2 linked regions of the Mus musculus genome follow. The protein of the gene in region 2 binds, or shares a complex with, the protein of the main gene of each other region. Links are inferred from orthologs where the notes say so. Each region holds a gene or a part of one and is shown on either strand. Other genes may lie near its edges.

Evidence for each region. Proteins that work in one complex are often made in the same cells at the same time.
Region 1: Med26 (region 2) and Med8 share a complex: the UniProt entries of both Homo sapiens proteins name them as parts of the mediator complex. The link is inferred for Mus musculus from reciprocal best matches to the Homo sapiens genes MED26 and MED8.

Annotation. Positions count from the first base shown.
Region 1 is NC_000070.6:118,407,867-118,412,140, reverse strand, and holds the start of Med8 (mediator of RNA polymerase II transcription subunit 8), read right to left. Parts: upstream 2,805-4,274; 5' UTR 2,761-2,804; coding exon 2,755-2,760; exon of another isoform or gene 2,592-2,754; intron 1,257-2,591; coding exon 1,138-1,256; intron 616-1,137; coding exon of another isoform or gene 568-615; intron 484-567; coding exon 339-483; intron 1-338. Other genes in the region: KICSTOR complex protein SZT2, read left to right, coding at 2,952-2,978. UniProt on the Homo sapiens protein: Component of the Mediator complex, a coactivator involved in the regulated transcription of nearly all RNA polymerase II-dependent genes.
Region 2 is NC_000074.6:72,545,511-72,549,447, reverse strand, and holds the start of Med26 (mediator of RNA polymerase II transcription subunit 26), read left to right. Parts: upstream 1-1,137; 5' UTR 1,138-1,481; coding exon 1,482-1,553; intron 1,554-3,233; exon of another isoform or gene 3,234-3,372; intron 3,373-3,937. UniProt on the Homo sapiens protein: Component of the Mediator complex, a coactivator involved in the regulated transcription of nearly all RNA polymerase II-dependent genes.

The DNA of each region.
Region 1 (4,274 bases), on a different chromosome or scaffold from region 2:
GCTGTTTTGTTTTGGTCTTTTGTGAATCTCTACCTCCACCCCTATTCTGGGGACCCAGGACTTTGTGTCTGTTCTACCACTGAGCTAAATTCTCAACCCCACATTTTAAAGACTGCAGCAAAGTCACAGGCAAGCAGGACAGACTTTTTTCTTTTTGCCTGACATAGATGTTGGAAAAGGAAGGTCGTGGACTTGGTGAGATAGGCCCTGATTTTCACTTCATTCTTTAAGGGGGACTCTCCTGACCCCAGAAGGATAAAAACAAGTCTTCCAGACGGCAGCCCTCACCTTTCATGGCCACACAGAGGATCCAGTCAACAAGATACTGTGTGTCTTACCATGAGGTCTTCGTCTCGGTCTGGGGACAGCACCAGAGGGATGATGACCTGGTTTCGGAACAGTGGCGTCTTCTCATGCTTTAAGACCTTGTTCAGAGTGTTCAACTGTCCAGAAAGCAATGCAAAGCTGTCCAGGACAGAGGGCCTGGAGGTGGCGAGAAGTCACCAGAGTTACTTCTCCCTACAAAGTAACCTCTAAAAGTCCTAATGCTGCAACACTCAGACTCACCCCGAAGACTCGCAGCCCTGTGTCTGGCATAGGCAAGAACCAGATTTGCTAGTAGAGATGGAATTGGGAAAGAGGAACACACTTTCAATTTTTGACATAGATACAGAAAAAAGGCAACCCACTGTTTGACTGGGTTTGGGAGCAGTGGAAACAGGGGCTGTGGTTACACTGTAGTAAGTCTGTAAAGCCTCCTCCCTAATGTAGTAACAGACTCTATCATTCCAGAAGGCTGGATCTCAGATCCAGCCTCATGTGTGGAAGGAGAGCCACCATAAATGGAGCTATAATGGTCTTCCACTGAGGAAATGCCTCCTCACTAAGGAAGCCAAAGCGTAAGAATTAAAACCTAGAAACAGCCTAGGTTGGGAAACTGGACATTTTTCTACTTCCTTGCCATGGAGGCTTTAAGCCAAACTAAACTTGTCAATGTTGGGCAACCTAGTTCTTTCCAAATCAAAAAGGATATTTGCAAGTTGATAAATGGGTACATCGCTGGAGATGTCCTGTCAGCCAGGGGGCTTGGCCCCACCACCCATGGATCCCTCCCCAGCTTGTCCTGGCAATCCTTACCAGGTCAGCCGGTCATACTCGTTTTCCAACTTGTAAATGAAACTCCCCAGTGAATTCTTCAGATCGGCCACTTGATTCAGCAGGGCATCTAATGATGCCTCAAGCTGCTTCTCCTCCCTCTGCATCAACAGTGTGTTTGGTTACTCAGATACAAGTGAGCGTGACACATTCAGAAAAGCTAAATTGTTTTCTATCTTGGTATTTGGGTTACAGATAGCATCAACCCTTAGACCTTTCAACCTGTTCACCTGGCCTGAAGTCCTCCTACTAACTGATTCCTCTATAACCCTCCTACACTGTGGTCCTTCAAGAAGGTCATTGCACCAGACCTAATTCTCTTTGGCTTGAAACCTCATGATTTGTCTTTGTAACAAAACTGGCTTCGAACTCACTTAGCCTTGCACCTTTTTAATTCCATGCTCTCCTCCTCCCAGCTCTCAAACACTGCCTCTCCCAGTAGACAACATTCTCTTAGATTTGCAGTAGGGTTAATAGGAACGTGCTCAGGTTTCTGCACACTCTTCTTTGTCAGTTCCTCTTCTGGAAAATAGATGTGGCCTGCCTACCTCACGACTGCTTATTGTCACTGCGCTGCTTTCCTTGGGTGGATGAGAATCCCTCGTGTCACTCTGTGGTGTTGGCATTGACACAGTTTTGTTTTGTTTTTTTCAGGAAGTTCAGTTCACCTCAGAAAGGTTTGCCATGATAACAGGGGTGCTATCTGCACACACAGCCTAAATAATTCCCGAAGTTCATTATATCATGGGTGCCTCTGGTCATCCTCTTGTGAGTGTAGCTACTGTCAACCACACAATCTGGACAATCTCACACGTTGCCTCTCTGTAAGGTTTTCTCTGAATACCAGCTCTGCAATCCCCTTCCCGGTCCCCCAACTGGCCGTTTATCCATAGCATTTGGTGCTTTGGAAAGTCAACGTGCATCTTTGTGCCAATATTCCCGTGTCTCTTTCATAATTCGGGTGACCCATAAACAGTGTAGGTTTATCAGATGCAACAAGCCAAGTGAGTAATGAAAGAGTAATGAAAGACAAAGGCGAGGAAACCTGCACATTGTTTCTGAGTGTTAGACAATTTTAAACGCTGAGGCGGCAGAGGGTTTCCGTTTGACTATCTGAGGACTATTTACCCCACTTCTCCGCCCTTAGCAACGAGGTACAAGCCGGGAAGAATGATGCAAAGCTGATTTGCAAACCTGACTATGTGACTGAGGGGGTTGGACACCGGGTTCCACCCACAGCCTCGAATTACAAACAGCTTAGTTTTCATCCTTGGAGGCCCACGATCCCTTTAGCCTTCTGAAGCCTTATGACGCCTGTGTCCAACAGCCTAGATCGAGGCGTGCGGCAGCCCACTACTTTCCCGAGCCTTCCCAAATGCCACCACGATCCTTTTCCACGCTCAATCAAGTCCGCCTTTCCTCCCCGGGCCTCCGACCTTCTCACATCAGCGGGCTCGATGCCCGCGCCTCCCGCAGCTGGCCTCGCTCTCTCTGGCTCCGCTGCCTTTCCTCTGCCCTCCGCTCACAGCCCCAACTCCCCGGTGTCCTCAGCCCAATCACCCTCCCGCCAGCGGCTATAAGGCCCAACCCGCTTCTCACCTGCATTGCCGCGGCCCGGCGGGCGCAACCACTTCCCTTTCCGGTTTCTCGCACGGCTTGCTGCGCTCACCAATCAGAAAACTCAAAACGGGACCATCCCAACAACTTCCGGTTCCTGCCCGGTACAGAACTAGCCGGGTCAGAGGTCAGGAGTGGAGCAACCTCCCTGGCCCGGGCCGGCGCGGGAGGGCTGTGTGATGGCCTCGGAGCGCCCCGAGCCAGAGGTGAGGGATGGGCGGGCGCGGGGCCGAGGCCCGAGGGCGGGCGTGTGGCAGCCTTCACCCTCCGGAGCCTCAAGGAGGCCGTTGCTGTTTTGTTTACTCAGATGCCATCCTGATCTTCGTCGCCCATCCACAGACTTGTTAGCGATAGTGATGCTGATAAAAACTCGTGTTTTGGTTATTAGTTGGGATTTTCATTGTGCCACGCCGAAGCTGACCGACTTTGCGGGGTTTTTTGTATCTCATCTATTGGAATGCAATCAATAGCATGAGTTGATTTCGCTCTAGCGTTCGTGCTCTTGGCAAAGCCCTACAACCCTCTGGCCAGTCTTAACTTAGGACAGACCCTGCTTCCTTCTTTATAAAAGTATTTGTTCTGTGATGTGGCTTGGGGATCACAAGTTAAGGCAGAAAAGGCAGACGAGGCACCCGCCCCCCCACCCCACCCCCCACCCCCTAGATGCAAAGAACCCTATATGTATGTTTTGACATTCAGACTCCAGCAGGGAATCTGGCAGTATTTATTGTCATGTACAGAGCAGACAACTGAAGTCAGAGCAGGTGAGGTGTCATGCCATGCAAAGATACCTTAGGACTACTCCTTCCAACTGAACGAGCGGATCCGAGGAGGTACCAAATTTGGCTAGCGTGTCCAGGACCCCAGAGGGATAGCCTTGTAGGAGGGAAGGTTGATGCATGTGCGTAACGATACAAATAGCAATGGCTACTTGTCGAATTCTTACTGTATGCCAGCCACAATTCTGAGCTCTTTACTGTTACCAGTTCTTTCAACCCTATAAGGCAAACACCATTATCATCCCTCTTTTCAGGAAACTGAGGTGCCACTATTAAAAGAAGCATAGTTGTGCAGCTAGTATTGGGGCTAGAACTCCCAGGTAGGTGAGCTCGCTCTACAGCTACAAGTTGTCCTCTGACCTGCACACGTGCACTCTGACACGGGTGTGATCTTATATATGTATAATGTATGAGTACACACACCCGTGTATGGGGAGGATGTGATAAACTACACACATGAAAACCCTATGAGTGAATAGGGTAGAAACAGAATACCAAGAAGAAAGGGTGATGTTTAGAGAGGCTAGGCTCCCAAAAGAGAGGAAGAAGCAAGTGCTGTTCTGCAACCAGAATTGTGCTGAGGGTTAGGGTGGATGCAGAGGGTAAAACAGAGACTCCTTAGCTGTGGGGACTAAATGAACATTGGATTATAATAGGTGTTGCAGAGGCGTAAGTGAAGTGTCACATTTAGTGGGGCATTTAACCTCCTTCCACAAATGGGTG
Region 2 (3,937 bases):
CGTTGGAATTAAATGCCTGGTTCCTCACCTCCCCCAGTACCCCCCCCCCGAAGTATGACAAATTTAAAATTAACAGGTGTTGAGCAGCTCTCAGAAGTACATGTGGTTTTCATTACCTGTTTCCCTTCCGTTTCATGTCTGGATTTTTAAGGTTACAACACTACACGAAGTTATTTCTCCCGAGGCCACTTTCGTATAGTGCACTAAACTCGGAGCCCGCCCTCCATCTGTCCAGTTGTAGGGGTCACCGAAGGACGGAGGACCGCAGCCTTTATACTTGACTTCCTTCGTTTCTTGGTTTGACTTAAAACTCCAGGTGACCTTGGTGCTTCCCTTCCTCCCCCGTGAGGCGTTCCTGTTTTCCATCACCTGAGATGCAAAGGCGGGGTCGCTCCGTCCCCTCGGAACGCCAAGGGGAAGATGCTGGGCGACGGTTCCGCATCCTGCTGTTCAGACACAGGCTGGCCACCTCCAGCCCCCCCCGCCCCCCCCCCGCCTCTAGGAAGGCGACAAAAGCGGTGCTTCCTCTTGAGTTCCAGCCCCGCACGGATGCAGACCCGAGGTGTCAGCGTCGCGCAGGCCTTGCAGACTTGCGTCCTCTGCAGAGGTGGCAGCTCCCAGACGTGACCTTAGGTCCCCGCAGCACGCGGGTCACATGGGGACACGCACTGCCCTGCAGACCCGCGCCTGGGGCCTCTGCAGCGGAGAAGGCTGTGCGGAGCTCCTCCGAGCTCCTCGAGGCACGAGTCTAAACGCAGGGAACCGCTGCCTTCCTCAGATTACCTATGGCCGCTCCAATCCTCTGGTTTCTAAACGCAGGAGGCCCTCATCCGGGGGAGGGTCTTTCCATTCCGCAACCCCAAAGCAGTCAGAAGATAGAGTCGGTGTTCCAGGACTTGAAGGGTGCGCTTCCGTTAGGAAGCCCATCCCTCCAGTCCCGAGTGGGCGTGGCCTTCAGATAGCGTCCGTTGCCACGCCCAACTGCCTCCCAACGGCCCTCTGTGTCGGACCTCGGAACCAGGCGGCAGGACCTGCTAATTGCGCCTGCGCGCGCGTGCGCACAATCAATAGGAGGGGCTCACGAGCCGGACCCTCCCAAACCCGGCGTCTCCACCCGCCCCATCTCCCAACCTCCTCAGCGTGGCGCCGACGCTGCGTGCGGCGCGGGTTACCCAGAGTGCTCAGCGCGGGGGGCAGCTCACTGGAGTTTGGTTCTCGAGGCGGCGGCGGCGGTGGTGGCGGAGGCTCCTCCGTCGGCTCCTCCTCCTCGCTCGGCGGTGGCGGCGGTGGTCCGGGGCCTGAGCTCCGGTCCCCTCCGCTTCCCTCCGTCCTCGCCATCTCCCCGAGCGCCTTGACCTCCTCCGGCGCCGCGGGGAACATGCGGCTCCGTTCCCGGAGGCCGGCGAGTGACTGACCCGCGTTCCCCCTCCTCAGCCTGCCCGCCCGCCGGCCCGGCCGCTCCCCCCCGCTTCGCCCAGGCAATGACAGCGGCTCCGGCGTCTCCGCAGCAGATGAGGGACCGGCTGCTACAGGCCATCGACTCCCAGAGCAACGTAAGTGACTGCCTCGCGATCGGGGACCGAGGCCGCATGTGTCGAGACCCTCCCCCTCCGACGCGCCCCCGGCTAGGGGCTCTCTCCAGGCGGTGATCTGCCCGCCACAGCCACTGCCATCTCGGTCTCTCTTTCTCCTGGGTCCGGGGACCGCAGGCAAGGCGGATTGCCCGGCAGCTGAGGGTACCTGAGGCCGAGGCTTCACGCGGCCTGGACTGAGGGAGCGTTTGGAGCTTTGATCAGAGCTAGTTCTTCTCCGTTGTCCCAGCCCGACCGCCCTTGGTGGTCCCCACCGTGCCTCCTTGCCTCACCTCAACCCTGGGAACTGAGAACCCCCCGGGAAGGTCTCCCTGCCGGGGGCAAGGTGGGAAGCAACTAGTGTCTCCGCGATGACTAGAGTAGCCCGCGTCTCCGGAGTCTTGGCCTTTACTCCCCTTCGGTCTCCTGGCTGAACCTCCTTCTTGGCTAGGAGGGAACCCTAGGCCCGTTCTGCCCCCAGTCTGTCTACCTGTGATGCCTGGAGAGTCTCCTCTTTTTTCTGATAGTGGACAAACCTTTCCTGGGGTCTTTCTAGAAAAGACGACCCTGCAGAGAGTGGGATCCTTCCTGTCATCTTTCTTGGCCTAAATGCTCCATTGCGCATCTGACCAGAAGCTAAAGCATGGGATTTTGGTACTGAGTTACTGCCCGTCATAGTTGATTGTTCTCTTATTCCTACCTTCCGGTCCTCTTTCCATCTCTCTCTTGCCCCTCCTGAGGTGCTTTGGGCCCTAGCCTGTCAAGATTTAATTGTAAGGGGTTACTTTATGTCACACTTTCCTCTGCTAAGAGTCCTGTGAGCAGAGGGACATCTTTTTCTTCCTGTGTGAGCATAGACTAATTTCACCTGTTCTTGTATTTTTCCCAAAGGTTTGTTGGCAGTGTAGGGGGCGGGTATCCTTGTTGCTGTTAGGAGCAGGGCCATGGGAAGATGCACAGGCATTCAGATATGAGGTGTTTGCTGGGAGACCAGGAAGTGGCCTTTGAGATCACTTTTTAATATGCTCGGGATGGAAGAAAAATCATCTTGGGCTTGGACAGGTAACCGAGGTTTGAGTCTTTTGAGTTCCCTTGACTATGCTTGACCAGTTACTCTTAGCAATGTACAATGTACACTGTATTGTGGTGTGTTCAGAATAATTCACATTGTTTGTGTGGTCTTGGTAGAAATAGAGGTGCTCTAGTTTCTATGAGATCTGCTTGCTGGATCCAAAATTATTTTCTTCTTGGTCTTTAAGATCACCTTGATAGTAATTTAGTAAATACTGTAGACATTTTCTCGAGGTAGAATAGGGACAGGCTAGATAAAAATCTTCTAGAAAGCCTTTTTAAATTTTTTTCTTTTTTCTTTTTTTGGTTTAAGGTTTTGTTGGGTTTTTTGTTGTTGTTTTGTTTGCCAGTGATTGGTATTACTGACTGTAATCACATGATTGATATATTAGGATATTAAAAGGTAAAAACAAGAGATAGGAAAACATAGCCTTGATGGCTTTTGCATCTTTGCTGAAGCCATAGTGTACACAGTATAATTTTTTGATGTTGTTTTTCAAGAAGGATTCCTCTTCTATGTAGCTTTGACTATCCTTGAACTTGCTCTTTAGACTAGGTTGGCCTCAGAGATTCTCCTGCCTCTTCTTCCAGATTAAACGATTGCACCACCACTGCTCATCTCTTCCACAGTGGAAATTTTAACTCCTGTGTAACTCCTTTGCTTGAGATCTTATCAGAGATCCTGACTGCTTGTATGTGAGAGTGTTGGGACCAGCAAGCGCTTTGACAGGTAATCATGATGCTATAGATCAGGTGGGTCCAAGTGTTAGGTAAGGTCTGACTAGAAGACCCTTTGTGGGTAAAAGAAGGAAGGTAGACAGCCCAAATTTTAGGTTTTTGTTTTGTTTTTTTCTGAGACAGTCACTGGAAGTCACTATGTATGTAAACCAGTGTAGTCTCACAGAGAATCTGTCTGCTTCTACCTCCCAAATGCTGGAATTAAAGGTATATGCCACCATGCCTGGCCCAAACATTAGTTTCTTGAATTTTCCCTTGGTCATAAGTATTACTATGCTCTTTGGCCTGTGGGTAAGTTGCTTGGAGTGTATATCTCAAAGGGAGACCTTATTGTGGTGGATGGAGTTGAGAACTTGTCTCTGAGTGAGGAGGGAAGTGTTTCCCAAAATGCACTGTCAGTGACCACCCACAAAAACAACTAGGTATATGTGCCAGGGGCTGGCTTTGCAGAATCTCTTTGTAGAATCAGCCTGGAGCACTGTCCTCCATTTCTTGCTGTGGTATTGAAGGGTCCCTGGACATTTGCACTGTTTCCGTGATTGCTCAGGGCCCAGGTA